4 linked regions of the Tamandua tetradactyla genome follow. The protein of the gene in region 1 interacts with the protein of each later gene in a pairwise test. Links are inferred from orthologs where the notes say so. Each region holds a gene or a part of one and is shown in the gene's direction. Other genes may lie near its edges. The genes, in order: NCK2, TRIP6, RASSF7 and PAK1.

Evidence for each region.
Region 2: the proteins of NCK2 (region 1) and TRIP6 interact in binary tests that used the Homo sapiens proteins (3 or more experiments, as listed by UniProt). The two-hybrid records come from large-scale screens. The link is inferred for Tamandua tetradactyla from reciprocal best matches to the Homo sapiens genes NCK2 and TRIP6.
Region 3: the proteins of NCK2 (region 1) and RASSF7 interact in binary tests that used the Homo sapiens proteins (3 or more experiments, as listed by UniProt). The two-hybrid records come from large-scale screens. The link is inferred for Tamandua tetradactyla from reciprocal best matches to the Homo sapiens genes NCK2 and RASSF7.
Region 4: the proteins of NCK2 (region 1) and PAK1 interact in binary tests that used the Homo sapiens proteins (3 or more experiments, as listed by UniProt). The link is inferred for Tamandua tetradactyla from reciprocal best matches to the Homo sapiens genes NCK2 and PAK1.

Annotation. Positions count from the first base shown.
Region 1 is NC_135343.1:70,554,238-70,562,103, forward strand, and holds the start of NCK2 (cytoplasmic protein NCK2), read left to right. Parts: upstream 1-4,865; 5' UTR 4,866-4,964; intron 4,965-6,776; exon of another isoform or gene 6,777-6,827; intron 6,828-7,207; exon of another isoform or gene 7,208-7,278; intron 7,279-7,824; exon of another isoform or gene 7,825-7,866. UniProt on the Homo sapiens protein: Adapter protein which associates with tyrosine-phosphorylated growth factor receptors or their cellular substrates. Maintains low levels of EIF2S1 phosphorylation by promoting its dephosphorylation by PP1.
Region 2 is NC_135349.1:8,876,932-8,884,548, forward strand, and holds the start of TRIP6 (thyroid receptor-interacting protein 6), read left to right. Parts: upstream 1-4,605; 5' UTR 4,606-4,815; coding exon 4,816-4,924; intron 4,925-5,155; coding exon 5,156-5,283; intron 5,284-5,400; coding exon 5,401-5,526; intron 5,527-5,788; coding exon 5,789-6,166; intron 6,167-6,468; coding exon 6,469-6,562; intron 6,563-6,668; coding exon 6,669-6,838; intron 6,839-7,298; coding exon 7,299-7,477; intron 7,478-7,617. Other genes in the region: SLC12A9 (solute carrier family 12 member 9), read left to right, coding at 104-228, 381-573, 720-894, 1,090-1,236, 3,044-3,945. UniProt on the Homo sapiens protein: Relays signals from the cell surface to the nucleus to weaken adherens junction and promote actin cytoskeleton reorganization and cell invasiveness. Involved in lysophosphatidic acid-induced cell adhesion and migration.
Region 3 is NC_135335.1:432,955-440,307, forward strand, and holds RASSF7 (ras association domain-containing protein 7), read left to right. Parts: upstream 1-4,347; 5' UTR 4,348-4,427; intron 4,428-5,140; 5' UTR 5,141-5,148; coding exon 5,149-5,272; intron 5,273-5,447; coding exon 5,448-6,133; intron 6,134-6,237; coding exon 6,238-6,366; intron 6,367-6,449; coding exon 6,450-6,531; intron 6,532-6,611; coding exon 6,612-6,643; 3' UTR 6,644-7,076; downstream 7,077-7,353. Other genes in the region: LMNTD2 (lamin tail domain-containing protein 2), read right to left, coding at 80-432, 714-982, 1,277-1,359, 1,457-1,528, 1,836-1,991, 2,108-2,201, 2,561-2,713, 2,807-3,099. UniProt on the Homo sapiens protein: Negatively regulates stress-induced JNK activation and apoptosis by promoting MAP2K7 phosphorylation and inhibiting its ability to activate JNK.
Region 4 is NC_135334.1:67,315,627-67,323,401, forward strand, and holds the start of PAK1 (serine/threonine-protein kinase PAK 1), read left to right. Parts: upstream 1-4,768; 5' UTR 4,769-5,000; intron 5,001-7,775. UniProt on the Homo sapiens protein: Protein kinase involved in intracellular signaling pathways downstream of integrins and receptor-type kinases that plays an important role in cytoskeleton dynamics, in cell adhesion, migration, proliferation, apoptosis, mitosis, and in vesicle-mediated transport processes.

The DNA of each region.
Region 1 (7,866 bases):
TTACAATGTTAATAATAACTTACAATAGCACATCATTAAAAATATTTGCATTTTTAAAAGCCATTTGTTTCAGTTTGCTAAAGATGCAGGATGCAATATACAAAAAATGGATTGGCTACTACAAAGGGGATTCATGAAGCGACAAGTTACAATTCTGAGGTAATGAAAATGTCCAAATTAAGGCATCGACAAAAGCATACCTTCACACAGAAAAGGTTAATCTCGTCTGGGGTTCCTCTGCCACATCGGAAGGCACAGGACGGTGTCTGTTGGCCCTATGCTCCTGTGTTGCTTTCAGCTCTTGGTTCCAGTGGCCTCCTCTCTGAGCTTTTCTTTGTCTCCAAACATCTCTGAACATCTGTCCCCTGGTTTCTTCTTTCTCCTCTCTGTGTCTGAACTTTCTGCAAAATGTTCCCCTCCGAAAGGACTCCAGTAAGTTAATAAGACCCACCTTGAATGGGTGGACTCACATTTCCATGGAAACAACCTAATCAAGAGATCTCATCCAAACAGTGGTCCTGCCCCCATGAGACTGGATTAGGATGAAAAGAACACGGCGTTCCTGGGGTGCATAACAGTTTCAAACCAGCACACCAACATTCTTAAATCAATTTGTATCCTGCACCATTCCTTCAGGAAACCATTATTAACTTGCCAACTTTGAGAAGTGAGCAAGGAGATCTGCGGGAATCCAAAGAAGTCACCCTTGCCCTTGGTCAGTGTGTCCCCTTTCTACACCCTATGGACACAGATGACCCCAAATCAAGGCATTTTTGGATGAGTGCCTTAGCAGAGCGGTGACAAATGCACACATCTTCTAGGAAGGAGTTTACTGGTGACAAATGCACACATCTTCTAGGAAGGAGTTTACTGAAAGATGAAGGGAGGGTGCTGTTTGAATATCAGCAGGTATCAAATTGCACAGGATTATTCTGCAAACACAGATTTCCAGTTTAAAAGTCTCCATCAGACTCCCAGAAGAAGAGGGCTGTCCCCACCAGGGTACCTCAAACAGCACCGTGAAGGTGTGCCAGCCAACCTCTCTAAAACATACTTTCCTTCTAACGTATTTGTTCTTTAATGAAGAATGTGATTAATAAAAGCAACAAACTATTCACCAATACCCCAGTTGAGAACTGCTTTATATTTTAGAAGTCTTCCCTTTTAAATATGCATATAAAACATTAAAGCATTAAATAACTAGACTTTAATAACTGGAAACCTTATTAACTGAAATCTCTCTACTCAGCACTCCACTATTGGAAGAAAGTAGCAGATGCGGGAAAACAACTGTATTAGGTTTTTAAAAAGTCATTCTAGCACGTGGCTCCAATTTAGTTTAGTTTCCACGCAATCTTCAATGTGCTTAATCCTGTAAAATGAGATTGCATGTTCAGAATGATGGCCCTTAGGCCTTATAAGGCATCCAAACATCAAAATAAAATAAAATAAAAAAAGACATTTCATTTACTGTACTGTGCTTTCTATGGTGAGATATCAGCTTGTGGTATTTTAGGAAAAAATTTCAACTTGTTTTTGAGCTAAAGGGCCTTTCTGGTTAAACCTTAACAGAAATGAAAATTTAATTTAAGGGAACAGCTCCTTCCTGAGGCATTTGGATTAATTGAGGGTTTATTGTATCTAACAAATATTTCAGATGTGATATTCGCCTAAAGGTAGATTTCAAAATGGAAATTCGAGTAAAATCCTCTTAGCTTTTCTGAAGTTGTAGGAGCACTCTCAAAATTAGTCCACTCTAAAATTACTTTTGCCCTGCTGCTAATTAAAATAATTTAAAGTTTGATTTTTTATTTTTCAGTACAAGCAGTCCTCAAGTTTAAAAGTTACGTTGTGCGTGTCTATCAACAATCTGTGTTTCTTGACAAAATGCACAGAGAGATCAGTTAGTATTTCAGTACACTTTTATTCCTATAATTCTTTTGCCCATAATTGCACTTGACTTTATAGTGTATTATTTTATCTTTTTCATTTATTTAAACAATAAGATGAGCACACCCATTTCCTGAAGTACAGATCATAATTCCAGACCTGGAAAGAGTAGATTTATATACAGACTGGCCCTTTGTGGTAGCTGTTGTTTTGAGATGGATGAACTTTTAATGTGTAATTATGGGCTTTTTGGATTTCATTCTTCCAGAAACTGAGAGATGGGTTCCATGGGTTTCTAGCTTGCCTCCTCTTTGGTCTGAAGAGACGGTGAGAAGGTGCTTTGTATTTTGGGTAAGAAATCTTCATTTTATCTGAAGACTCAATGTTTCCGCCCCTTCTCTCTAAGCTAATGTAAATAAAATGAAATACTGAAACCTGCCAGTCCACCAGTATTCGTTCTGAAATTGTTTTATGGGTTCATGAAGTCTTGTAGGTCTCTTCACTATTGTTTGAAGTTCTGTCCCCTTTGGTGAGCTCGTAAAAAAATGTGGACTTTCCATTCATCATCAAAGTTTATTAAGTCTCTGCTAGGCACTCTGTAGAGGAAAAGGTGCTGGGGTTCTGAATGGAAAACTCTGACTTGTTCCCTGCCTGCAGGGTGTTTATCTCAACACTAAGATAGATGATGCAATTAAAGAACACTAAGGCTCATTACTCCAGTGGGAAATTATAACACTAATGGTTTCTTTTCTAGTAAAAAGTCACTTGAGGGCAGGGACTGTGCCTTGCTCACTTGCATACCTCCAGAAGAAACTCTGCTTGTAGTCAGTTGGCTATAAATATTCATTAAATATAACTGTACAAAAACAAAACCATTAATCCCTCACCAACCCGTTTCCCCAACTTTTCTATTGCTGATTTTGGCCCTGTTATACATATGCACTACCTATATCCAAAGCCTAATGTTAGGTTTGATGCCTTTTTCCTCTGTCCTCTCTGCCTGGCCATCTGTCAATCTCTTTTGAGCTTTTCATCCCAGGCTCTTGTAAACCATTTTCTCTTCTGTTCATCCTACCCTAGTCTGGGTTCCTACCTCTCTGAGAAATGCAAACTTCTGTTTGTCCTGCATCTGGGCATTCCTCCTTCAACCTCTTTGGTGTACCCACCACATGAGTTTTCCTGAAACAAAGCTGAGGTGATGCCCACACCCACACTTTATCTCCTGGGACTTCACCTCATGAGCATCCTCTCCTCCATGTAAGGAAACTGGGCCATTGTCTGATCCCATCAAACCCTCCAACATTCTCCTTTCTGTCCTCATGGGTCTCTACCCCCTTTCTTAGGAATTTCCTCCTTATCTGTCTCCATCTTTCAAAATTGTACAGGTTGCTTAGTCAGAGGTTTTGATTGCAAGCAAGAGAAAGTGCTTCTGGCTACCCTAAGCAGAATGAAAATTTACTGGAATCATATCAAAGAGCTGCTAGGGCAGCTGGGGCTGCAAGGAAGCAGGCTGGGAACTAAGCAGGCTGGCTACCCTCGAAGGAAGTGCTGGGACTTCGAGGCCAGAGCAAATCGAGTTTCACCCTTCTCCCTCTTTGTCACACTCAAGTTTCAGAGGCCTGAGTGGGAGGGTTCAAAGGAGCCCTGCCTTCCTCTCATTCAGATGGGGGTCTCCCTAAAACAAGGAAGGGACTCAGATGTAGGGTAGCTGGTTATGGCAGTCTGCTACTGTGTTGTCTTTCAAGGTCCATTTCTAATGTCACCACCTTTTGAAAGCCTCTCCTGATTCTCTCATTTTGTTCAATACTTTTCAAATTTAGCTTTACGTTGTAGTTGTTTGTATATTGTGCCTTATCCTTCCTCTGAGATTAAAAGCTCAATTTATCTGTTTCTCCCGAATTGCCTCTTTTAACGCCTTACAAATAGAAATGTACTAGGAAGGTTTAATTGAATTGAGGGTCAAGACAGAAGGGCACAGAAAGGCAGATATGAGGGGTTGCCAGGTGTCGAAGCACACAGAAGAGGTATTTTTCCTATTAGCTCACGTAATCCACACAATTCTTGTAGTCGTACTACTATTATGTGAGGCTCAGAATGCTTAAATGACTTGTCCAAGTCACAGGGCTGTAAGCAGGCCTTGGACCTGGGAGGAGAATTCAGAAGTTTTATCTAGTCCAAGGAGGGCTTAGAGGAGGCGGGTCCAGAACTTCCGGGAACACCTTAAATAGGTGAGGAGTGAGGCAGGGAGCTCCTGGCTACTCTGCACTCTAGAAGGTAGAAATTGGTGTGACTAAATGGGGGACAGCGGAGAGCCCAGGGGGACTGAACCAAATCGCTTATATTGGGGCTGAACCAAGAAACTAGATTGTTCCAGCAGGACTAGGTCATAGAGGCCTGTGAAAGATAAATAGCAGGACTTGATGCTGATGTGTTTTGGGGGAAAAGGCTTATTACACTTTCGGCCCTTTCAATATTTTGTTAGTGAGGATATTTTAATAGAAAAACAAACCTGGATGTACTGATGGAGGTCAATGCAGAAATGGGTAGATATTTTTGGATACAACTCAGGCTTCAAAGAAATGTCTCAGCCACCTTGGGCCTTGTAATGGGTTGCATGGAAACCCCCCAAAAGATGGGTCTACCTAGAACCTGAGAATGTGGCACCAGGTTTTGGAGTCCAGTATGTGCAGGTTCTGATTCCAGTTCTGTGGCTTGCTGTTTCATTTTTCTTGTCTGTAAAATGGGGAAGACAATTTTGTGTTTGAATTAAAGACGACAAATGTAAAATATTCAATACATGAACATTTTGCTTATCAATAATTCCAAAATTAGGACGGTAGCATTGAAAGTAGAAAGGTGTGGCCAAAGTGATGCTTAAGAATCAACATGACTCAGAGTCATGGGAGTGGAGATGGCAAGGGATCTTCACGTGATCTCGGCAATCCCCTCACTTTCTGCAGGTAGAGCAGAACTAGAGGAAGGACAGGTTTCTACCCTGGGGGCCGAGAGAAGGTGGTGGAAGAAAGGATTGGTGTGGCAAGGAGGCCAAGTTCATCCTGGATGATCTCGAGGAGGTGAGTTGCTGGCCACAGGGAGGGTCTCATGAGCAGGTGAAACCAGAGACGGGCGTAAAGGCGAGGTCAGGGCTAAGGGTCTCTCTAGGGCTACAGATCTGGGAGCTAGTCCTGGCAAATCCAGACCAGAAGCATTCACAAAATGATTAGCTCTCTGGAAAAAAGGCACCTGACAGAATAAGAACATAAAGCCAAAATCTGTGTCGGGAATATGGCCACCGTCAGAAGCTGGGAAGACAAAACACCCAACAAGGATACAGAGGAATGTAAGAGAATGGGAATCAGACGTGTTAGATGAATGAAAAGATGGCTGAGTTTCATGAAATAGCAGAAAGGCCACCTGCTTGGAAAACAACCTTGGATAAAGACCTACAGGCTGCTGGGTTTGTAGATAATGTCCCGGGTGCCTTGAGCCAGAGTCTGGGGAGGAAAAGGAGGCTTTGGATGATGTTCAAAGATACATGATTCAGTGAAAGTTTACCAAGCTAACAAGCTAAAAACTGGGTCAACACTGTTAAACCTATTTCAAGTAAACTAATTTAAAACTGGGGCAGACCACTGAGTAGATTTCTGCTTTCCATTTTGTAAAGCAAGTTGTTAGTAAAGCAAAGTTTTCAGGAAAGGATGGACTGAGGGGCTACCTTCCAAGGTTATGAAAACAGAATGTTTCCCTTCTCTCATCTCCCAATCGACGTGGTCCACCCTGCTACCAGACGTTGCTAATGAGGTGTGCCCCAACATCGCAAAGGATGCAGGTAAACATATCTCCTCACTTCAGGAAGAAACTGAGGCTTAGAAAAATTAAGAGACATTCAGTTGTCTGACTTCAAAGTATACAGACTCTAGTTATCCATCCTTGGGGACTTTCTTGCCAGGACAAGACAGGGGATGAGGGAGTCAAATAATACTGCCTGGTCTCCTGGAATAAATTATTGCTGCCTTGATAGTCATGGAGAAGCCAGGAGCCTCAGGGTCACTCTCTAACATGGCTGCAGGCTATCCCGCTAGGATATCAGAATCATTTGAATATTAGGGTTTCCCTTTGGGAATCCATATGGGAAGGAGGTGGGAGAACAGGCATCTGGTGCATGTGTCATCCTTTCCCTTTCCTTGTGGGATTTCATCTTCCACGTTTGTTTAGAGAGGTGAGGCCCAACTCGCAGCTGGGCTGGGGAACCGGTCCCCCCACGCGTGAAAACTCCTCCCGGCGCCCACGTTCACGCAGCAACTCCCCGGATTCTGCTACCCGCTCGAGCAGGCGAAGGTGCAGGGGTGGCCGCGGAGGGTGGGTTTCCTCTCCTGCCCTCAGGAAGTGCCCCCAGCAGGGACGCGGGAGCAAAAAGAAAAAAACAAAAAACAAAAACCAAAAAAAAAAAAAAAAAAACTTGTCTGGTTGGGAAAGTAAATAGATGTAAGGCAAAGATATAAAAATACCCAAGAGCAATTACAAGGAGGAAGTGACATTTTAAAGTCACTTTCCTGATGGACAACAGGCCTGCCTTCCTGCGAGTGCCGTGGGAATGTTTTCGGGAAGGGGACGGGGGCCAAACGGCGAGAGCGTCACGATAAAATCAAACAGAGCAGGGACGGGCGCGACCCCCCTCCGGGCCCTCGGCGCTGGCAGCCACTGCCCTTATTTTCACTCCCCAGTTCCCACCCGCCTCGCCCCCCGGGCGAGCCCTCTCCCGCGGCAGGGACGCGTCCCCCCTCCGCACCGGCGGCCAGCTGTCGCCGAGCACCCGCGCGGGCCGCCCAGGCTGACAGTTCCCTCCCCGCCCCCCCCGATCCCCGGCCGCGCACCTCGCGCAGCGCCGCCCGCCGGGCCCGGGAGCCCCAGCCTGGGGCGAGGCCCGGCGCCCCCAGGTGGGTCTCGGCCGCCTCCGCCCCGCGCGCCCGGGGCCTGCGGCGGCGTCACGGCGCGGCCGGGGGAGGAGCGGCGGGAGGCGGCGGCGAGGGGCGGGCCGGGGAGGAGGAAGCGGAGCGGGGGAGGGGGCTGGGCGCCGGGGGAGGGGCCGCCGCCGCCGGGGTGGTGGCGCCGGGAGCCGCGGCGGCCAGCGGGGCGGCGGAGCGGCCGGAGAGAGGGGCGGCCGGGCCTGGGCGCGGCGGGGCCGAGGCGGCGGCGGCGGCGAAGGCTGAGCGGCGGCCCCGGGCCCCGGGCGCGGTCGGCCCCGCCGCGGGAGCGGGCGAGCGGCCGCGGGCGGCGGGAGGAGGGGAGCGGCGCAGACAAAGAGCGGCGCCGCCCGGGCCGGGGAGCGCGGCCGCCGCCGGGACCCCCGCGCGCCGGCGTCTCCCTCACGCTCGGCCCCCGCCGGAGGTAAGCGCGCCTGGGACGGGCCCGGGGCGCGGGGGGCGCGGGGGGCGCCGCGGCCGCCGCAAACTTGTGGCTATTCGGCGGAGTTGGGAGCGCGGCGGGGGCTGGCGGGGCGGGGCCGCGCTGGGGCTGGGGCTCGGGGGGACCGGGCGCCTGGCTGCTGCCCACCGGGTCCCCCTCGGCTCGGCCGCGGGCGGGCTGGGCTGGGCTCGGCACTTTCCAACTCCGCACCCTCCTGCCCGCCTTCCCCGGCCCGGCCCCCTGCCCCGACCCCCTGGGGGACCGGGGCCGCCCCGCGGAGGGTCTGGGCGGGGGCGCGGCCGGCCGAGGCGTCGGGGACGGGGCTAAGTGCCCCGGGCAGCGGGTCCCGGGGAGCCGGGCAAGCCCCGGGTGAGCAGAGGGTGCCGGCTCCTGAGCCGGCCGCGGGGACGGAGCCCGGGCTTCGGCGTGGGAGCGAGTCCTCCTCCCCGCGGGTCAGCCCGGGAGCCAGGATGGGGGGGGTGGTCGCGGCTGCCGGGCGGCGCGTGTCCTCCGCGCGAGTTAATAGCCCAGATCTCGGGGCCCGGCGCCGAGGCCGTGCGAGGCCGCGCT
Region 2 (7,617 bases), on another chromosome or scaffold:
TATGGGGTGTGAATTAAAAGGCAGACATATTGGCATTTTGGGGATGGGAGTGGGGGCGTGTTGGCATGTCGGGTCAACGCCCAGGCTCCCGGTTCTTGCCCAGCTGGTGCTCCTGGCTGGGAAGCTGAACACGCTGGCCGCCGTCGTCACCATCTTCTACTTGGTGGCCTATGCTGCGGTGGACCTGTCCTGCCTGAGTCTGGAATGGGCCTCAGCCCCCAACTTCCGGTGAGAGAATAACACGCCTGTGAGCCCAAAGGAAAGCAGGGAGGAACCCGAGGGCCTTGGACCCTGGAGGGCAGGGCTGGGGCTGCGCATGGCATGGCCAAGGTCTTCAGGACAGGCCCTGAATTTCCTTCCTTCTCCGTGTCCTCCCCCAGCCCCACCTTCAGCCTGTTCTCCTGGCACACCTGCCTGCTGGGGGTGGCCTCCTGCCTGCTCATGATGTTTCTCATCAGTCCCGGGGCCGCCGGCGGCTCCCTGCTTCTCATGGGTCTGCTTGCTGCCCTGCTCACAGCCCGAGGAGGCCCCAGCAGCTGGGGCTACGTCAGCCAGGCCCTGCTCTTCCACCAGGTTGGAGGAGCCTGGAGGAGAGTGGGAGGGAGGCAGTCTGTGAAAGCCAGCCTCCTCCCTCGGGGGTTGGGGTTCGCATTCCTGTGGCACAGCGTGGGGACTGCCCCTTCCGGCCCTCCCTCCCACCCCCTCCTCCCTGTCCCCAGGTTCGCAAGTACCTGCTCCGGCTGGACGTCCGGAAGGATCACGTGAAGTTCTGGCGACCCCAGCTGCTGCTCCTGGTGGGGAACCCCCGGGGGGCCCTACCTCTGCTGCGGTTGGCCAACCAGCTTAAGAAGGGCGGCCTCTACGTGCTGGGCCACGTCACCCTGGGGGACCTGGGTGAGCTGCCCACATCCCCACCCTTCCTTTCTGCTTGGTCTCAGGCATTCTGTGTGTCCCAAGCGCCTTGTCCTTCTTCCCACATGACCCAGCTGACCAGCCACCCAGGCTTTTTCCCTCTGCCCATTAAGGGTTTGGTCTCTACGAGAAAGTAAATGAGTTTGTCCGACACTGGCCACCTCCCTTTCCCTGCAGACTCTCTGCCCTCGGACCCCGTGCAGCCGCAGTACGGGGCGTGGCTGAGTCTGGTGGACCGGGCCCAAGTGAAAGCCTTTGTGGACCTCACCCTCTCGCCCTCCGTGCGCCAGGGGGCACAGCATCTGCTGCGAATCTCAGGCCTTGGTGAGCCTCTCCTCCCTGCCCCACCCTTTAAATCTCAGCTCCCGCCCCAGAGAGTAAACCATAAACTGCAAACCCCAAAAGGAAATCATGATCTAGTACAGCTAAGAGGCAGTGCTCAAAGATAACAGCCTCAGACAGTGGATGATAAGGTTTCCTCAGAGATGCAAAGGACTAAAAATGGGGTGATACTGCTTTTTTTTTTTTTTTTAACCCCTGAGCCAAAAAAAAAAAAAAAACGGGGCACAAGCTCTGATTAAGTAGGTTATCTGGGGACAGTGGAAGAATGATTTGAGTCTGGAGCTGCCCCATCTGAAGTAGCGCAGATGGTTTCTCACCACCAGAGTTGAGAAAAAGGAAGACTACCATGCACGGAGGTGGCCAGTAAAGAGTGTGAAGGGACGGCATCTGAGCCGGGCCTTAGGGGGTGAAGGCAGGCATGGTGCAGTGCAGTCCAGAGACCACAAAGCACGCTGGGGGCACGTGGGGTTGATGCTCTGGGATGGGGGGAAGGTTCCCAGCTTTGCAAATGTATCTTGGAGCTGTGGCTTCTGGCCTTGTACCACACGTCCTGCCAGATCCATGCTCAGCTGCCTTCTCTGCCCTTCATCCCTGGGCTGGTGTCTGTCTCCTATGAGGGCAACCCACCTCCCCCATTTAGAACCTGGCTCAGGTTCATCAGTGTTGGACATGGCCCTATTTGGTACCAGTCAGAACCCTAGAAAATGCTCAGGAGGGGGTATGTCTGGTTGAACTTGCAAGATCGGCTTTAGTTCATACCTCCTGAGAGCTGCCCTTTGTGAGGATACCTGTGCAGAGACCCCTGCTTTCACAAAGTGCATCTTGATTTAAGTAAAAGGGAAGGGATCTCTTCTAATTAGGAAATTCTCCCGGCACATAGAATTTGACTTAGTGGTAAATTTTTAGCAACCCAGTTCCTTTCCAAGAAAGGGACTTAGGAGAGGTCTCAGAATTTTCTTGCAAATTCAGCCCTTTCTAAGGGGGAGAATTGCCTGATTCCCCACTGCTGTTCAAAAGTTAAAACTCAAGCCCTCAGCAGGGACGCTGTGGTTTGTGCACACATCAGCTTAGGGGTGCCAAATACTCGGCTGTGGTGCCTGGCAGCCTGTGTTCTCACACTGGCCCGGCCACTTACTGGCCTTGAGACTTTGGGCTGGTGATTTCACGGCTCTGTGCTCATTTTCGTTGTCTGTAAAAGGGGGAGCACGGAGTCCCCACCCCGGAGATTGTTCCAAGTATTAAAAAGTTAAAATATGAAGGGCTTCCAGCAGGCCCTGGGCCCTGGTAAGCATGGAGATGTTAGCTCTGTCTTCTCCCAGGATTGTGGGGAACTATCCTTGGGGCGGTGCTAGAGGGGAAACAGGCCGCACAGCTCCACGTTCTCTTCCCCTTGAGGCAGGGTCTGGAGCTGAGTTTCCTGGCCACTGAGGCTGTGAGCTTGACTAATCAATTGGGGTGTTTGTTCTGCCCAGTGGGGTCTGCTTCTCATCTCCCGCTGGCAAAAAGATGTGCTGCTTCAAAGCTTGGAGTGAATGGCAGCCGGGTCCTTGCTTCCGACCAGGACTGCTCCTTAGTTAAAAGAATCCTAAGGCAGACTTTGTCTATTTAAGCAGCGATCAGTAGTGTTGATCAAACAAATGCGCCTGAAAATGCTGAGGAAGAACTAGAAGTCAAGATGCAGATGCGCATTATGAGGCCTTAAGAGGCCAAACCACTGGCTTGAAGGTGCTATCCGGTGAGCGCGCACCGCTGATGCAGAGCCCTTCTCCCCGCCTCCCCCTGCCCGCAGGCGGCATGAAACCCAACACGCTCGTCCTGGGCTTCTACGACGACGCGCCGCCGCAGGACCACTTCCTGAGCGACCCGGCCTTCTCCGAGCCGGCCGACGCCGCCGCCGGGGAGAGTGGCGCCCCGGCCCTGAGCGCCCTGTTCCCGCCGCCCCGGGCTCCGGGGAGCCCCCGGGCCCTCAGCCCCCAGGACTACGTGGCCACCGTGGCGGACGCCCTGAAGATGAACAAGAACGTGGTGCTGGCCCGGGCCTGTGGGGCGCTGCCCCCGGAGCGGCTCGGCCGGCGCCCGGGCGGCCCCCCGCAGCCGCACCACGTGGACGTGTGGCCCCTCAACCTGCTGCGGCCCCGGGGTGGACCCGGCTACGTGGACGTCTGCGGCCTCTTCCTGCTGCAGATGGCGACCATCTTGGGCATGGTGCCTGCGTGGCACAGCGCCCGGCTCCGGATCTTCCTGTGCCTGGGGCCCCGGGAGGCCCCCGGGGCGGCCGAGGGGCGGCTCCGGGCGCTGCTGAGCCAGCTGAGGATCCGGGCCGAGGTGCAGGAGGTGGTGTGGGGCGAGGGCGCCGGGGCGGGGCAGCCGGAGGCGGCCGACGAGGGGGAGGAGGGGGACTTCGTGAACGGCGGGCGGGGGGACGCGGAGGCCGAGGCCCTGGCGGGCAGCGCTAACTCCCTGGTTCGGGCCCAGCAGGGGCGCGGCGGAGCCGGGGGGCCCGGGGGGCCCGAGGGCGGGGACTGGGACGCGGGGCCCGCCACCGCCCTCACCTTCCTGTACCTGCCTCGGCCACCAGCCGACCCCGCCCGCTACCCGCGCTACCTGGCGCTGCTGGAGGTGCTGAGCCGGGACCTGGGCCCCACGCTGCTGGTCCACGGCGTCACCCCCGTCACTTGCACGGATCTCTGATGGCCCAGGCAGCCCTTTCCTCGAGGGGGCGGCCGCCTCGGCGAGTGGGGAAGGGGGACGAGGGCAGGCGCCTCCTCCCGCTGCCCTGGAGCCGGATGGAGACGCTCCGGGCGGCCAGAACCAGGACCGGGAAGCCCCCCTCCCCCTCGTGCACCGCTGCCCACCCCCCTGAGCCCGGGGACGGACGGGCCGCTGTCCTCTCCTCGGACCGGTGCCTTGACAGGAGGGGCTGGTTCTCCTCTTGTGACTCTAGGCTACCTCAGTTTACTCCTTCGTGGCTGACAGACTCACTGACTCCTGAGGTTGTGATGTTTTTGTTCTGTTTTATTTTTCTAACTCTGCTGAACGTGAATAAAAGACCCAAAAACTCGGCTGGCTGAGCATTGCCTGGTGGGGTCGGGGAGGGGGCGGGGAACGGGGACATCTGCGGGGGCGGGGGGGAGTGGGACAGAGAGCCGAGCGGTCCCTGCAGAGGTCCACGTGCGGAGTCGGGGGTGGGAGCCAGGGGCGGTGAGGGCCGTGGAGGCTAGTTTGGGGTGGGGAGTTCGTGGGGGCTGGGGGCTGGCGCGGGCCCCATCCCGTCCCGGGCGGACGCGGGTGGAGCCCTTCCCACTCGGCAAAAGGGGGCCAAGTCGGGGAGGGACGGCAGTTTGGGGCCTAGGGGGCCACGTGACCCTCCCCCAGGAATGCGGTGACGTCATCGGAGGCGTGGCCGTCCCCCAAATTGGGGAGGAAGGGAAAAAAAAAAAGCCAGAAAAGTTTCTTTCCTGGAGTCCCGAACGAAGCGTGGAACGACAGAGCAGGCCACGGCTGGAGGACCCTCCGCGGTCAGGGGACCACTCGCTGGAGCCTCCTCCCCCATCCCAGGCCATGTCGGGGCCCACCTGGCTCCCCCCGAAGCAGCCGGAGTCTGTCCGAGCCCCTCAGGGGAGAGCGTCCTCCCGAGGCTCCCCGGGGCCACCGCCAGCCCCCGGAGCAGGTAGGGCAGCCCTGCGCCGCGCGTGCGGCGGGACGGGACCACCGCGGCCCAGCGCCCTCCCTCCCGCCGGCGCCTGCTTCCTGCCGCCCCCTCCCCCAGGCCGGGCTGGGGCTGGCGGCCAGGGTCCCCCTCTCTCCCCGCCCTGCAGCCCTCCCTGCCAACTCGGACCCCAGGTGTACTCCTCCTCCCCTCCCTCATCCCCACCTTTGGTCTCTCTTCCCCTCATCCCAGCCCTCCAGCCCCACCCCAGGGTCAATTTTTGCCCCCTCCCATCTGAGCAGTGTTACCAGGCCCCCGCGGTACCGGAGGATCCGGGGCCAGCCTGGGTGGGGTCCTATGGAGCGCCCCAGCGCTCACAGGTGAGAACTGGGATTGGGGGGCAGGGTGCGTGGGGCCCTCGGAGCTGAGTGTGAGCCGGACCCAAGATGGGAGAGGAGATGTGATTTGCATTCTCTCTGCTTTTATTCCATCCCCAGGGACTCCCCCCAGATAGGGGGGGCTTACGCCCAGGAAGTCTGGACGCTGAGATAGATTCTCTGACCTGCATGCTGGCTGAACTGGATGGGGGTCGTGGTCATGTCTTACGGCGACCAGACCAACAGGTGAACCCCTGTCCGGCCCCCTCCTGCCCCCAGCCTGCCCATCCTCCCCAACCTGTCCCTTTCCCTCGGTTCTCAATCCAAATCCAGTCCCCTTCCCCTTCCTACCCCATACACACCCATATTGAAAAGCGTGGGAACGGGAGCTCTTACTAATTGTCTGTGACTCAAGGGCAGGGCCGCCTCAAACACGTGGAAACACATGGTTCCATGAACACATGGTCTGGAATGGGCCTTGGTCATTGTGGTCTGTGTTTCCCCCCAGGCTTATGAGTCCCCTCAGCCCCCTGCCTACCGCTCCAGTTCCCTGAAGCCGAACAGAGGGGGTGTTCCAGCCCTGCAGCTCCCAGCATCCTCCTATGGGGGTCCCACTCCGGCCTCCTACGCCACTGCCAGCACCCCAGCTGGCCCGGCCTTCCCTGTGCAAGTGAAGGTGGCTCAGCCAGTGAGGGGCTGTGGGCCACCGAGGCGGGGGGCCTCTCAGGCCGCTGGGCCTCTCCCTGGCCCCCACATTCCTCTCCTAGGCCGAGGGGAAGTCTGGGGGGCTGGCTATCGAAGCCACCGGGAGCCAGGGGGTAAAGAGGAGGCTGCTGGGGTTTCTGGTTCAGTCGGAGGAGGAAGAGGAGGCGGATATGGGGCCCAGGTAAGCCTGAGGCACTGGGATTTTGCGTCCTCATGGACAACTAGATGCTGATGGTACGGGGTACAGGGTGGAGTTTAGTGTCCTGGTTTTAAATCAGAGTCTGAGGGCCCGGGCCTCAGAGCTCTGGATCCCTGAGGGATGTGGGCAGCCTGGGAAACAGGAGGGAGAGGGCTGCCATTGGCTCTGTGAAGCACTCCTGTACCTAGGGCTGAACTGTTCTCAGATGGGTTTTCTGGGTTGACCTGTCACTGTCAGGAGTAGTTGCCAGAGGTAGGACTGAAACCCCGATTCTTGCCTCCCAGGTCCCCCTGAGCCAGCCTCCGGAGGAGGAGCTGGAGAGGCTGACCAAGAAGTTGGTGCACGACATGAACCACCCACCCAGCGGGGAGTACTTTGGTGAGCAGGGTGGTGGGAAGGGGCAGGGGGTACTAGAGAGTCAGAGGGACGGTGGGCCTGTCTTCCTGGGTCTGTGCAGGCTGACCTGTTTCTTCTCTGACCCTAGGCCGGTGTGGGGGCTGTGGAGAAGATGTGGTCGGGGATGGGGCCGGGGTGGTGGCCCTCGACCGAGTCTTCCACGTGGGCTGCTTTGTCTGTTCCACATGTCGGGCCCAGCTCCGGGGCCAGCATTTCTATGCTGTGGAGAGGAGGGCATATTGTGAGAGCTGCTACGTGGTGAGTGGCTGGGAGGCTGGCATTGGCAGCAGGAGGCAGGGGGCTTCTCTCTAATGCAAGAACTAGCTGTCCAAGCCTAAAAAAGGAACAGGTTCAAAGCTGGGAGAATTGAGACTGAGACAGGAGAAGAAAGGAAGAGTTAGGTAATAGCTAAAGATCTGGGCTGCTGGTGGGGAAGGACAACATTCCTTTCAAGAGCAAGGCAGATGAATTAAGGAGCTGCCTTAAATTCCCACCATGCCCCTGCCAGGCAGGTATTCCTATTGCTTCCCATTTATATAGCTCAGAGACATGAAATGACTTGTCCAGTAACCTGCAGTGCTGAGACTTGAACTCAGGTCCTTTGCAATGATTGTTCACTGAATCACTGGCAGTGGGCTAGATAAATAGATGGTGGGCTGACAGAATGACTGGAGAGCTGCCACGGGGCCCCCTGACCATCCTGCTCTCTTCCCCACAGGCCACCCTGGAGAAGTGCTCCACGTGTTCCCAGCCTATCCTGGACCGGATCCTGCGGGCCATGGGGAAGGCCTACCACCCTGGTTGTTTCACCTGTGTGGTGTGCCACCGTGGCCTTGATGGCATCCCCTTCACTGTGGATGCCACCAGCCAGATCCACTGTATTGAAGACTTCCATAGGTCAGGCCCTGCCCTGCCCTTTCTCTCAGGATGCCCGGCTCTTCCCATCTCCCTCACCTCTGCTGTTTGCCCAGCACCAGTCCTGTTTCTAATCCCTGGCCCTGTTCTTTGGCCTCACTCTTTTCCCTAAGACCCCTGTC
Region 3 (7,353 bases), on another chromosome or scaffold:
GGGCGGGGTCGGGCGGGGGTGGGGGGGCCCGGGCGACACCGCCGGGACCGGTGCGAGGCCAGGCAGGGCCGGCGCCCACCGTGACGTGGTGCCGCGGCGGCAGCAGCGTGCCGGGCGGGAAGCGGTACCGGCGCACAGGGAAGTCGCGCTCAAGCTGCTGTAGCACCGAGCCGCCCAGGTCGGCCGTCTCCTCCAGCGACTGGTTGAGGACGCGCACGAGCTTTTCGCGGCTGCTCACGGCCACGATCTTCAGGTAGGAACCGGCCGGGCTGGCGCGGGGTGGCGTGGGGCACAAGGTGTCCAGAGACCCGCTGTGCCTGCGCCCTGGCCACTGGGTCGCACCCCACCTCTCGTCGCGTCCGTATGGCCTGGGCACCACCGAGATCTTGCAGGGCGCCCCAAGGGGATTACAGCGATCCTGGTAGAGGAGGCCTGTCCGGGAGGGGACCCCTTGGAGCACCCACAGAGGATGCCCCCTGAGGGCCAGACAGCCCTGAAGCCCCCTGGGGGTCCGCGGGGACAAGGAATGAGCTAGGGACCAGGAGGGAGGGTGAGGCCCTGGGGCCTGGTAATGCTGGTTCTGACTGCGAGGCCTCCTCACCTGGGCCAGGGCCCCTGGGTCCACCTGCTGACCCCTAGAAAGGTCTCAGGCCTTCCTGGGGCAGCTGTGCCGGGCCTGGGGGTGGGGGTACGGGGAGAGCTGCCTACTCCACCTTCCAGCCCGGTAGTGGTGTCTCCGCTGAAGGTCTGGGTCTGGGCATCGACCTGCTCCTGGGAGGATCCTTCTGGCCCCTGGGGCGGGTGTCCTGTCACCTGACGCACGAGGGAGGGCTGGGCCAGCGGGCAGCCCCCAGCGTCCGAGCTGGAGCCTGCAGAGCTGCTGCTGCGCGCCCCTGGCAGGGAGCTCCACTCCACGCTCTTCTGTTGCCTCCCCGCACGCTTGCGGGGCGCCTCCGAGTTCCAGCTGCCCTGCCCTGACTGCCTGTGGGGCCACGCACTGCTCACCAGGTGCAGCCAGCTCCCTGATGCCCAGCCCAGGCCGCAGCACCCATCCTGGTGTGTGGTCCCTGTAACTGGGGTGCTCACCCCAGGAGAGGGCATGCCAGCTGGGACCTGTCTTTTACCTTCACCCCAGGGGCACCCCCTAACCCCCTTCACAGATAGAGAACTGAGGTTCAGGGGCACAAAGAGGGCCAGGCTCGGGTTCTGGTCCACAGGTGGCAAGGCCAGCCCCCCTTCTCTGGCCCCTGGGGTGGGGTGGGGGCTGCGCAGTTACTTGTGCTCCGAATCGACCCTGGTGAGCAGGTTGGGGTATCGCTGGGCAATGCTGTTCCAGTCTACGTCCTCCAGCCGGAAGGCCTGACGGGAAGCAGTAGGCACTCGGCCACCCCCGCCCACCCGTCCTCCGACCCTGGAGGGCTCCAAGCCCTGAGCCCACGCGGGGGGCCTCACTCACCTCCTGCGCGGTGGGCAGCAGCTCATTCTCAGAAGAGTCACTGGGAATCACCAATGTGTCTGCTGTCACCACCTGCAAGAGGAGGTGGGGAGCAGCCAGTTGGGGCTGGGGAAAGGGCCTCCCCTCCCCCTCGACCTCAGCAGCACCCAAGGGTGTGATGTGCCGAGGTCATGTGGGTTGGACTGCAGGAAAACGCTCCCTCCCTCCTGGAAGCTTTAGTCCCAGAGAGCCTGAGAGTTCGGCCCCCCAGGCAGGCCCGTGTACCCCTGCAGCGGCAGAGGTCAGCGGGGAACATGTCATCCAAGGAGGCTGGGGAAGGGGACGCGGCAGGCAGGAGGGCGGGCGAAGCTGAGTGGAGCAGGTGGGGAGGCGTGCTCACCTCCACGCTGCCGGTCTGAGACCGCAGCACACGGCCGACCCAGGAGGAGTGGGCCAGCTGCAGGAGGCAGGACTTCTGGAAGGTCTGCAGCTCAGCCTCCAACTGCTGCAGCGTGTTGGTGGCCTGCAGGAGCCTCTTCTCCCAGCGCTCCTTCTCCTGCTCGGGGAGGGAGCACCTGTGGTTCCCCCCTCTCAGGCCCTGGCAGCCCAAACCTTGCCCGGTCCTGACCTCACCCCAGCCTGGCTCCCCTATGCCGGCCCCTGACCCCTCACCAACTGGGCTCGTTCCTTCTCCTCCTTCAGCTCCAGAGTCAGCTTGTGGACTTGGTTCTGCAGGAGCTTTTCCCGATCCCAACCGTGGGAGCTCCTGGGAGGAGGGCATGGGCTCAGCAGCCCCCACCTCTGGGTCAGAGGAGGGGAGAAAGAAGGGGCTCCTTTGCTCCTAGGTACCTGGCTCTGACAGGTCAAGTCTGGGCAGGGGTCCAGATTTTGGCCGGACTCTACCTAGTGCCGCGCTGTGTTCACCCCTGTTGACTCGCTCAGGGTTAGGGTAGGGGTCAAGGTCAGGCAGGCAGTAGGCCTAGGGGCCAAGGTCAGATTTAGGGCCAGGGCTGGGATTAGGGTTGGAGTCCAAGCTTGAGGTCAGCGGTTGGGGCTGAGTTAGAGTGAGGACGGGGTCCTGGTTTGGGCCGGAGGAGGGGTGGTGCCGGGTCCTTTGCTGCTGACCTCTCGGGTGGGCGCCCGGCCACCTCCTGCAGAATGTAGCTGTGCCGACCATCTCGGTTGCCCTGCACTGCCCACCGCAGGGCCTGGAGCTCCAGCTCTCGCTGCCCCCACAGCAGCCTCAGGGTGCGGGGGTCCAGGAACTCAGGGGCCAACCTGTAATGCCAGTGCCCCTGCCGCTTGACCAGGCCCTGGCCTGTGTCTGGCCCGGCCGGGGCACTGACCCCCCTCCCACCCCCCTCTCCTTACTGCTGGTTGGCGAAGATGAGGGCCGGCGTGGCCTGGGGCTTGGTGTCCTGTGGGACTGTGGGAACCCCGAGATCTGCTCCAGCTGGAGGACCCAGGTCGCCACTGACCTGCTCGCAGTCCACCTGGGAGGAGTGAGCCTCTTCCTTGGTCCCTGCAGTGTCCTGGTAGGGCTTGACCATTCTGGATGTTGTTGGGGTGGTGGGGCCAAAGCTGCCCCATGACCAATGGGTGGGTATCCCTGCCGGGCCCTCCAAGCCCCCTGCAGTGCCACCCTCCCACGGTTCACGGGGCATCTCTCTGTGAAGAGGCCTGTGTGTGTCCCACCAGGCCAGGGCAGCAGGTCATGTCCCCAAACAGCATGTCACCTGCTGGCTTGTGTGTTCCCAGTGACCCTTGCCGTCCGGTACCTGAGGTCCTGACTTTCAGCCTAGAACAAGGGGGTCCCCTCTATGCCCCAGACCCAGGTCCTGAGGTCTGAGCCAAGCAGGCGGGGCAGGGAGGGGCTCTATGTCATTGCCATGGACACCGGCACCCTAAGAGGGAGGGGCTGTTTGTTACCAGGAGCCTCCTGAGAGACCCTAAGCCTGGACACTGAATTAGCTCGGGGGGGGGGGGGGGGCGGCTGGAGGCTCAGGGGACCATGGAGTGACCAGCAGGGCCTGCCACGGCCACCCACTGATCCTCTGACACCCCAACCCTGGCAGAGGCTCCCCAGCCCTGCCTTGGGCGCTGTGGCATGGGGCAGGTTGCTGGCCTGTGTGTGTGAGCATGTGTGGGTGTGGCCCCTGCCTCCTGGCACAGCTCTGCCCAGAGGGGGAACCTAGGGGAGCAGCGTGCTGAGCCTCCTCCTGGCCCCTCCCGCGGTCTCTGTCTCCCACCCATCTAACACGCAGGCCTGCCACCTCCCTCTGCCCATCACCTCCCCGCAGCCAGGGTCCCCAAGGCCACTGCGCCGGCCGCCCACAGCACAGACGTGGGACCTTAGACCTGACCTCCATCCCGCCTCCTTCATTATCAGGACTTCAACTCCTGCTCCCTGACGCCTGGCTACGGGTGCGCAGACGGCCACGCGCCGCGGGCCCCTGGCCGCCCATAGGGCGGCCACCACGACCTGGAGCCCCGCACTGCGTCCCCGACTCGGGGATCGAGTGGCAGCTGGGCCCGGGGCAGGGCGAGGGGACGGGACTCAGAACCCGGGGCCTGGGCCCAGGCGTCCCTCCCCAGCGCCGGGACGCAGTCAGGTTGGGCGCTGCGTGGAATCGGCGGCCCGCGGGGACCGACACCTGCGCCGCCCGCGCTTCCGTGTGGCTCGGGGGCTTTAAGCGCGCGTGCACTGGGCCGGCCCGCCCCTCGGCCCAGCCCCACCCACACCTGAGCTCCGCGGGGCGGGGCGCGGGCGGCGGGCCAATGGGCGGGGCCGGGCGGAGGGGCGGTGGCCACTGGGCGCGCGGCGGGGGCGGGCGGTCCGCGAGAGGAGCCAATGGGGGCGCGGTGGGCGGGGCGCGCGGGCGGCGGGCCAATGGGGTCGGGGCCGCCCGCGGCGCCGGGGGCGGCAGGTTGCGGCGGCGCTGGGGGCTCCAGGAAGGCCGGGGCGAGGCGGGTCCGGGGTCCGCGCGCCCAGGTGAGCAGAGCTGGGCTGCTGAACCTCCTGAGTCCCCGCGCGGGCCCGGGCCGGCGGGGTGGCCGCCTGCGACCGAGGAAAGTTGACCGCGGGCGCCGGGGCGGGGGAGGAGGGGATCGGGACGCCCGTGGGGGCGGCGGGAGCACCTGCCCCTCCGCAGCGGCGAGGCCGCGGGGGCCCGCCCAGGTGCGGGGCTGGGCTGGGGACGGGCGCCGATCGGGCAGAGGGGCTTCGGGCGCTGGCCGGAGGGTCAAGGTCAGGGTCGTGATTCCCGAGTGGTCCCGGGGCCTGAGAAGGGCCCTTCCAGGTTGGGGGTACGTTTCCATGGCCGTGAAAGCGTTGTGCTTGCGTCCTGGCGCCCTGGGTGCTTGGGGACTGTGGCGCTGGGTACCGCCCCCAGGAGCGGGCAGTGCCTCTGCGCCAGGTGCGGGAGGGGCAGGAAATCCTGCATCTGGTTAATAATTTGCCTTGTTCCTGGAGTGGGGGGGACAAGGGGCGGCTGCTGAGGTCTGGAGAGCCCAAAGTGCCTGTCAGGAAGGGTTGGCTGAGTTCCTTTCCTGGGGGTCTAGTCTTAACTCCCCCCACCCCAGGAATGTGCGGCCTGGGGTGCGGCTGGGCACGGGAGGGCGGGGCGAAAGGAGAGGCTGGAAGCCCTGAGACCAGCTGGGGGCCCAGGGGCAGGGGAGAGCAGCCGACCTGCCCCTCTACCCCAGGCCCAGGCATGCCGTTGGGGCTGGCCGCCATGGAGCTCAAGGTGTGGGTGGACGGCGTCCAGCGCGTGGTCTGCGGGGTCTCGGAGCAGACCACCTGCCAGGAAGTGGTCATCGCACTGGCCCAGGCCATAGGTGAGTCGGTGTCAGGTGCAGGGACCAGGTGGCCCACCTCATCGGTCTTGCCCACCCTCACCTGTCAAGCCAAGTGAACAGAAGTCGGGGTGATGGGTTGCTCCCTCTGACTCGCCACCATAGGCATACAGGACAGAAGTGGGGGGGCACGGACTGACTGTGCTTCCCCCACCAGGCCAGACTGGCCGCTTTGTGCTTGTGCAGCGTCTGAGGGAGAAAGAGCGGCAGCTGCTGCCCCAGGAGTGTCCAGTGGGTGCCCAGGCCACTTGTGGCCAGTTTGCCAGCGATGTCCAGTTTGTCCTGAGGCGGACAGGGCCCAGCCTGGCCGGGCGGCCCTCCTCGGACAGCTGCCCACCCCCTGAGCGCTGCCCAATTCGTGCCAGCCTCCCCCCAAAGCCACGGCCAACACCAGGCTGCGAGCACCACAAAGCAGTGACCTTTTGTTGCGCAACTTCTGAGCCTGCGGCCTCCGTGGCCCCCACGACAGCCTGCTGCACAGACCTGCAAGGCCTGGAGAGAGCCGTGCAGAGGGCAGCGGCTGAGCTGGGCCAGGAGGCCTTCTGGGAGCAGGAGCTGCGGCGGGAGCAGACCCGGGAGCGTGAGGGTCAGGCACGGCTGCGGGCGCTGAGCGCGGCCACTGCTGAGCACGCTGCCCGGCTGCGGGCCCTGGACGCCCAGGCTCGCGCCCTGGAGGCCGAAATGCGCCTGGCCACAGAGGCCCCTGGGCCGCCCTCCCCTGTAGCATCCGCTGCCGAGCGCCTGCGCCACGACCTGGCCGCACAGGAGAGGCAGAGTGCAGAGGTGCAGGGCAGCCTGGCCCTGGTGAGCCGTGCCCTGGAGGCTGCGGAGTGTGCCCTGCAGGTGAGCCCGTGGGACCCCAGCCCCTCCCGGGCGTGGGGTGCTTAGGGTCAGGTGGGGAGAGCGCTTGTGGGAGGCAGCCCCCTGAGGGCTCCACGTGCCCCCAGGCCCAGGCTCAGGAGCTGGAGGAACTGAACCGGGAGCTCCGCCAGTGCAACCTGCAGCAGTTCATCCAGCAGGCGGGGGCTGCCTTGTCCCCATGCCCCCGGCCGGACAGGGGCCCCCCTAGATCCCAGGTGAGAGGAGACCCCAGGGAGGCTGGGCACAGGGTGGGGGTTGGTGCCCAGCCCAGCAGAACTGCCTCCCCTGCCCCCCACAGGACCTCCTGCCTCCAGCTGGAGAAGAGCCCCTCCCAGGAGTCTCTCGGAGCCCCATCCCAGGGTCCCGCCTGAACCCTGAGGGTATGTCTGTCTTTTCCTGTCCAGACAAGAGGGGTACTCCTGTGACTCTCTCAGCCCCTCACCCTGTGTCCTTTGTCCAGTTACTCCTGTGAGGCAGAACTCCTGGACGTAGCAGCTCCTGCCCCACGGTGGATGCCCGTGCTAGCCTCGCCAAGACCGGCCCTGCTTAGGTGACAGAAGGCGATCCAGTGGCCACAGCACTGTCCCCCACGTGGCCCTCGGGTCTGGGACTGGAATGGAGAATGCCACAGGCCTTGGAGTCTCTGCTCTGTGGGGCTGGCGGCTGGCCCTGGGCCAGGTCTGCCAAGTACCCCCAAGAAGGTGGACACTGAGAGTCACAATTTTTTGCTGGGGACAGGGGAGGCACAGAGGAGGGTGTAGCCTGGGGGTGCCGGCTTGCGGCCGGGAGGTGGCCTTCGTTGCGTCTGCAAGTGGCATGTATACGTGACAAGAGCACAGGAGTGCTACCTCACCGCTGAAGCCAAAACCCCAATAAATTGCCCACAGCAGCCTGCAAAGGGCTGAGGTTGGGATTTGGAGTGTGATGCCCCCAGTGTTCCTGGAGAGCACCCTAGCGTTCTGGGGCTGGCTGGGGCTGGAGCTCTTGTGGCCCGGTAGGGCACAAGACTGGGACCCCCACATTCAGGGCGCTGGCGCCTGCAGCCTGGGCCTTGGCCTCTCCACCTCTGAGCTGGACAGTGGGAAGTGGCGGGCGGGCCTGAGGCACCAAGACAGCAGCATGGTCCTGGCCTCTGTCCTGCTGCTGTCTGGCCCCTCAGCTGCTGGGCTCCCCTCTTCTCCAGCAGCCTGCACCCCAGTAGC
Region 4 (7,775 bases), on another chromosome or scaffold:
CCATGCTGGGCAATGCTTCCAGTGAGCCAAGATGAAAAACAGCAGGTGACTTAGCAGATAAGTCAAATGGGAGTTCCCCTGCATGGCTATAAGGAGGAATCACACCATAGAACAGTCTGTGGAAAGGAGAAATTAGGGGAATGCACCTGCCTGGTCCTCTTCTGTCGCCCATTTCCCATTTGTCAAGGTCCATAGGAAGATAACTCCCCTGTACTTCTGTGTAACGTCTATTGTGCATCATCTGGCCTCTCAATGGCAGTTCAGGAAGCAAGATTTCACACCCTGTGTTACAGCATTTAATCCGTCTGATAGCAGAGGGACAATTCAGCGCAGACGTGTGTGTGTGTGTGTGTGTGTGTGTGTGTGTGTGTGTGCGCACACGCACAGGCCTGGGGCTTCAGTTTCGACTCCAACCAACTGAAGGTACTTGGCAGAGGCAGCAGCAGTCCTATGGGTGAGCGTGACTTTGGATAGAAAGGAGCATTCAAGGCAATCTGAAAAGAAACGCAAGGTTATGCTCGATACACAGCATAATCAGATTTCCCCCTCACTTTTCACCTTCACTGAAATTGATTTTGCAAAGGTCATCAATGGGGTCTTGACAAATCCTGAAAGTATTATCTAGTTCTTGTCTGACTGAACAACTCTGTTCCATTTGAGATTATTGACCACTTCCTCCCTGAAATTCTATCATCCTCTTGTTTTCCTGGTGAACAGAATAGGTTTTCTTCCTACCTCATTGGCTCTGTCTTCTCAGGGTTTTCTTCCTTCTCCCATGTCTTAGAATTGGATATTCTCTGTGGTTCCATTTTCAGCCTTCATTTTATAGTATCACTCTCCACGCTTAGCTGTCTGTCTCCAAGCACTGATAGTTACCGAATCAATATCTGCAGCTCAAATCTCTCTGCTCCAGACCCACATGTATAACCAACTCAGGACATCAAACCCTAAATTGAGCTCATCCTCTATTCTTAACTCCAACACTCACTAGAACTTCTTTTCTTCCTATATCCCTGTCTTGGTAAATGTCTCCTAACCAAGAACCTGGGACCTCTCTTGAATTTCTTTTTTTTTCTTTGTCTCTCAAATATAGTGAGCCACTACCTCTCATAGATATTTCCTCTTAAATATCTCATAGAGCTAGACCTTTTCTCTATTTGCACTGCCATTGTTTCATTTCAGAACTGCAATTGCCTCCTAAATGTTCTTTCTGCATTTGACCTTGCCTTTCCTCAATCAATTTTCCAAACCGAACCCGCAGTTATATATTTTAAAACACAACTCACCATGACCAAATGGGGGTTTAATCTAAGAAAATAAGAATGTTCAATGTTTTATAAAAAATCTATTTATATATAATTTATGTCATCGATGTATCAAAGGAGAAAAAGCATATGATCATCTGAACAAAATGCTTAAAACATTTTGATAAAAATCAACATACACGTTTTATTTTTAAAGAAAAACACCTTAGTTAGCATGATAATGAATACTGATCTCAAACCAAACCACTGGCTTATATTATACTTAGCAGTAAAACATTAGAAACATTCCCATTAAGACTAGTAATTTGACTGGCATTATAGTTACTTAACGTTATTCTGGAAGTATTAATCAATGCAATAATGAGAGAAAGAAACAAGGTGTAAATATTTAATAGGGAAACAAAATTATTATTTGGAGATGATATGGTTGCTTGGAAAACTATTAGCATTAATAATAGAGTTAAGAAAGTTTGGCAATTGTAACAGAGATATTTAAAAATTAATTTTCTTATATACCAACAATAATCAGTAAAGAAATATAATGGAAGAAAGACATTATCACAACAATGAAAATAATCAAAACACCCAGCTATAAATTTAATGATAAACATGTGATTCTACAAAACTCTAAAGGGAGATTTGAATAAGGGTAGAAATGTATTACATGAATGTATTGGAAGATTTAATGTTGTAAGGGTATTAACTTTCCTCAAACCAAGTCTATAAATATAAAATTCCAATAAAACGTCTGGGGTTTTTTTCTTTCAGAATGCAAAAGATGCTATTTTAAAGTTTATTTAGAAAAATAAACAAATGAGAAAAATCATGTGCATTAATAGAAAGAACAGAACTAAAAATTCCTTTCTCTACCAGATATTAAAATGAACCCACAGGGGTGCGGGTGGTTCAGTGGTAGTTCAGTGGTAGACTGCTCACCTCCCATGAGGGAGACCTGGGTTCAACTCCCGGACCATGCACCAAAAAAAAAAAAAAAAAAAAAAAAAAAAGAGAAAACCTGCAGGATACAATAATTAAAACATTATGGCTTTCACAGGAGGCTACACTCCCGCTACACGCAGCCCCGTCTCTAGAGATCCTGGAGAAATTCCAGCACATTTTGCGTGTGCTCAGCACCCACATCTGCAGCGCGGAAAGACAGCCCTTGCCAGCACTGCCGTTAAGTAAGGGTGTGGGGCGAAGGTAAGCTCCTGCGGTGCTGAGGGAGGCAGGCATCGACCTCACCAAGAGGGCAGGAGAGCTCACCGAGGATGAGGTGGAAAGTGTGATCACCTTTATGCAGAATCCGCTTCTGCACGAGATCCTAGGCTGACAGAAGGACATCAAAGGTGGAAAACACAGCCAGGTCCTGGCCAACAGTCTGGCCAACAAGCTCCGTGAAGATCTAGAGCGACTGAAGAAGATTCGAGTCCGCGGAGGGCTGTGCCACTTCTGGGGCCTTCATGCCCAAGGCCAGCAACGGAGAACACTGGTCACCGTGGTTGTGCCGTGGGTGTGTCCAAGGAGAGATGAGTCTATAGGCCTTGCCTATTAATGAATTGTTTATACACCTGAAACAAAAACATTATGGTGCTAGCTCAAAAACAGAGAATTCAGAAAAATATCCAAGTATTTGTTAGAATTTAGTATATAAGGAAGCTTGTGATTCATCGCAGTGGGTAGAATGTTGGGCCATTACCTACCATCAAAACAAAGTTAAAGGGGGTGCCAGGGTAATTCAGTGGTAGAATTCTTGCCTGCCATGCGGGAGACCTGGGTTTGAGTCCCCGTCCATGCCTTTCCCCCAAACAAAAACAAACAAGCAAATAAACAATTGAAAACAAACAAACAAAAAATTCAACAAATGGTGCTGCAATAATGGGGTACTCACATGGAAAAATATTGAAATGTAACCCTAAGATAAATTGCAGGAAAAGATTAAAAATTTTAATGTAAGTAAATGAAAATTTTTGATATGAGTAGAAGAAAACATAGCTGAACATTTATAAAACCTTGGAATAAAGAAGGACTTCATAAACATGAAATTAAAGGATGAAGGCATAAAGGATGCTAGAGTTGGTTACATAAAAAAGTAAAACTTTTTGTAGCAAAAATTACCACACATTGAAAGACAAATGACATTCTAGGGAAGCATCCTGAACCAAAGGTCCATATCCATAGCTTTCAAAGACCTTTTTCAAATCAGTAAGAAAAACACAAATATCTAAAATGAAAAATGCACAATTGACAAGAAAAGGCATTTTACATAAGAAAAAAACCCAAGTGCTCAATACATATGAAAAAAGTTGAACTTCACTATTGGTCAAAGAAATGCAAATTAAAGGCACAAAAAAATAAGGACAAATATGTGCACTATTAGAAAGTGTTTGGAGATTGAGACACTTAAAAGCCTTTCTGGATGTATAAACTGATGCAGCCCTTCTAGAGGGTACGAAAACCGACTCCACTACTAGAAAATGTATACCGTGGAAATAAACACATACACACCTCTTGTGGCACTGTTTGTAACAATAAAAAATTGGAAACAACTTAAGTGTCCAAAAATAAAGTATGTAGCCATTTCAAAAGATGTAGCAGAATATTATTTAGGAACAAACATATTTAAGGAAGGATATTTAAAATACCAAAGCTGTAAAGTAAATGCAGCCAGTAGGATAAAAAACATTTATATGACAATATGACATGAGAGAATAAATTTCTGTTGTTTTAAGCCACCCAGTTTGTGGTTATTTGTTACAGCAGCTCTAGGAAACTAATATGGGGAGAAACTTTTGATTTAGTAGAATAACTTAGAATCTCTTTGTGGGTTGGAGTAAACGAGGGGAATGCTGAATTACTTTGTACAAAAGAGAGTGAGAATTGGGGATGGAAGCTTTGGGGTTTATAGCTAGAGAAGTCTGATTTTGGAGAATGAAAAAGAGAGGGAGGAAGGGAGCAAGAGAACCTGGGCAGCTGGTGTCACCGTGGAGGGACAGTCAATGAGAATTTTCCAATGATGGGAATGACTGATAGACTCTTAAAAGAACTGATGTCTATTCCTTAGTTTCAAGCTGTTCTTTGGGCTGTGCTACAATATAAGCCATCCTCTCTTGCCCCAAAACCTTTCTAAAGATAAACACATAGCCTTGTTTAGGAAATATATGGGGGAGAGAAAAGGTTGAGGAAATATCTAACAGGGTTGTATGGTATAGAAAAAAGGGTTGAGGTGCCCCACGAAGTGAAATTCAGGGTGGAGATCAAGGTGGAAACTCAAAGCTAAAGGGGATCAAAAGAAACATTACCCCATTGCCCCTGTGCAGTTTGAAGCTATTATGTACCCCAGAAAAGCCATGTCCTTTAATTCTCACTCAATAGTACTGGGTGGGATCTTTTTTATTGTTTCCATGGAGGTGTGACCCACCCAATTGTGAGCAGTAACTTTTTCTTAGATGGTTTCCATGGAGATGTGTCTCCACCCATTCTAGGTAGGGTTGCTTACTGGAGCCCTTTAAGAGGGAACCATTTTGGAAAAAGCTTTAGAACCAACAAAAGCCACCAGGACCAACATCTAAGACCCAACAGCCAGAGACCTCTGGAGATGCCAAAGGAAAATGCCCCACCCCACCCCCCACCAGGGGTGCTTATGAAACAAGAAGCCAGGAGATAAAGCTAGCAGATGTTGCCATATGCCTTTCCTGCTGAGAGAAAACCCAAACCTTATCAGCCTTCTCGACAAAGGTATATTTCCCTGGATGCCTTAGTTTGGACATTATTATAGCCTTGACTTAATTTGGACATTTTCAAAATCCATAGAACTGTAAACTTGCAATTTAGTAAATTCCCCTTATTAGAAGCTGTGCCATTTCTGGTGTATTGCACTCTAGCAGCACTTATAAACTAAAACACCCCCCCCCCCCCAAAAAAAAAGAGAATCCACAGAGATAGTGGTAGGGATCTGGGTTTCCTGTCATGCTTGGGAGAGTGGTTTGAATAGGATTTTTTCTATCTCAAAGGTCATGGAGATTCTAGAAGGTTGGATGCCCCTGTAAAATAGATGAGGGGAAGGGGATGAGGAAATTCAGAGAAAACTGGTTAGAAGGATACACAGCATACAAACTTACTTATGATGCTAAGTTTATAAGCAATTGCTATTTTCTTCATCTAAATTTTGATTATTTTATAATGAATCCATATTACTTGTATGATTTTTAAAAAATAAGAATGTACCAAGGAAGAAATATAAAACATAATCAGGCTCTGTCACTTCTTGCTTAAAACCTGTCGGGACATCCTAACTCTTTCAGCAGGGCAGACCAGGCTCTCAGCCCTGCTGCCTCCTCCAGCACAGCCACTCTGCCCTCTAAACCTTACTCTCCAGCCATGTAAAACCACGTGCAGTTCTCCGAAAGGGCCTATTCTTTCCTGCCTTCCTGCCTTTATATGGGTTTTCTCTTTTCTTGGGATGCCCTCTGAAAGGTTTAGGAGGCAAAAGGGTGAAAAAGAAGAAAAGTAGACCAGGAAATTTAAAGTGAGCGAGTTTATTTCTGCGCTCCCAGGCAGAGCTCACCGCATCCAAGATGGAGAGAGGTGAGTCCGCACATGGGCTTCAGTGCGGGCAGCTTTTAAGGATGGGGGTCAGATGACGTCCGGAAGGGGCAGTTCATTAGTTCCAGAAGTCAGGTTGGGAAGGGTGACACAGCCTCTGCAGCTCCAGCTGCAGTGCCTTTCCCCATTCCTCTGACCTAACATTCCAGCCTTTTTGTGATAATAGGGCGCCGAGATCTTTCTGGCTACTTCCTGCTGTAATGGGGTGGCGTGGGGTTATAGGCCGGAACCGTCATGGCCAGGGGAGTGGGGAGGCTGGCTGTAGGAATCTGGTGAGGAAGGCAGGTGATGATAATGATGCAGGAGCATTTGGTTGATTGCTACCCAGGATAGTTCCTTCATGCATCCCTGAAGGAAGTTGAGGAGGCAGGGAGCTAGGAGGAAAAAGAGACAGATTAGGATAACTGGTCCTAGTAGTGGGAGGAGCCATGTCACCAGAGGAGAAGAAAATCAGCTAAAGGCAGAGTTGGTTCCTTGTTTTCTGTGATAGAGATCGTCTCTTAGTTTGTTTAGGGTTTGAATATTTTGTTCCACCAGACCCGACTCATTGATGTAATAGCAGCATTCCTCTTGTAGGAATATACACGTTCCTCCTTTTTCGGCTGTCAGCAGGTCTAAGGCCCGTCGATTTTGAAGAGTTACCTGGGCTAGTGAGGTGAGTTGGCATTGTAGAGAGGAGAGGGATTCTGACGTTGATTCCAGGGCTACCTGTAGTCAAGTTTCAAAGTTTTGAGAGGTTAAAATATTGTGTCCCAATGCCCCTCCCGCTGTGGTTGAGGCTGCGACTGAAGCGGTTAGGCTGATGCCTACTAGGATAGGAAGAAAGGCAGCCCTTTTTGAGCGAGGAGAGGGCAGTAGCCAGGTTAGTTCGGACTCCCCATAGAGGGTCAATTGAGGAACAATAGTTACCAGGAAGCATGGCCCTGGGGCAGTGGAGTGAAGGCACTTGGTAAGAGTTCCATTACCCCAGAAATATTGTCCTTTGGGGGCATGGGTGGTGTTATGGATAGTGACGTTAGTCTGGCACTTGCTATGATGTTTTGTTTGATCTATGGTTATATGTGTGAGGTAGCAGGTTTTCAGGAGGTAGGGAAGGTTATCAGGCTCTGGTTCCCATAGGGGGATATTTTTTAGAGTGGTATGGCAGGAATCAGGGCTATGATTGTGTATTTGAGTGAGATTTATAGGGACGGCTCCCAATAGTGGCCTATTTAATGATGCACAGAGGAAACAGCAGGATACCTTAGGGAGTATTTGCATTTGGTTGAGGAATTGCAAGGTTTGTTGGAGGATTTGGGGCCATGTATGAGGGGTTGTGGAGGCAGAGCTTTGGGCAAGGTGGCTGGAGAGGCTTTGCTCAGCCTGCAAAATGCCCGTGGATACCCGGGTAAAAGTAGTATTAATGAGGACATATTTGTGGTGTATTTCAATGGTGCTTACAGGGTATCGGGACCAGCCACTGTAGTATAGCTTGCCTTGGATTCCTGCTACCCATCTTGTGTCCCAGGGATCTGCAATATTTATGTAAAATTGCTGGGAGCTAATGTAGAAGGTACCTTTATGAGCTGCCTCCACATAAGCATCATGTATTCTGCATGACCAATGGGGGCATCCCCCATATATATTGTCATAGTTGTTTTGGTTACAGCTTTCAGTTTGGGCATATGGAAAGCAGGCATATGGCCTCAGGCCCTTTTCAACTGATTTAGGATTTATGGGGATGGTTATAGGCTGACTACAACCTGTTAGAGGGCAGTCTCCTGTGCCAATCATATGAGTGGTCAATCTATCATTTTGGCTAAAGGTTTCCCTGATTTTGAACTTCCATACATAGGATGCGCCCTCAATGGGGGTTAGGAGAATGAGTAGCATGAGTGAGGTGGACCCGAGTGGGCCCCAGGGGGTGAC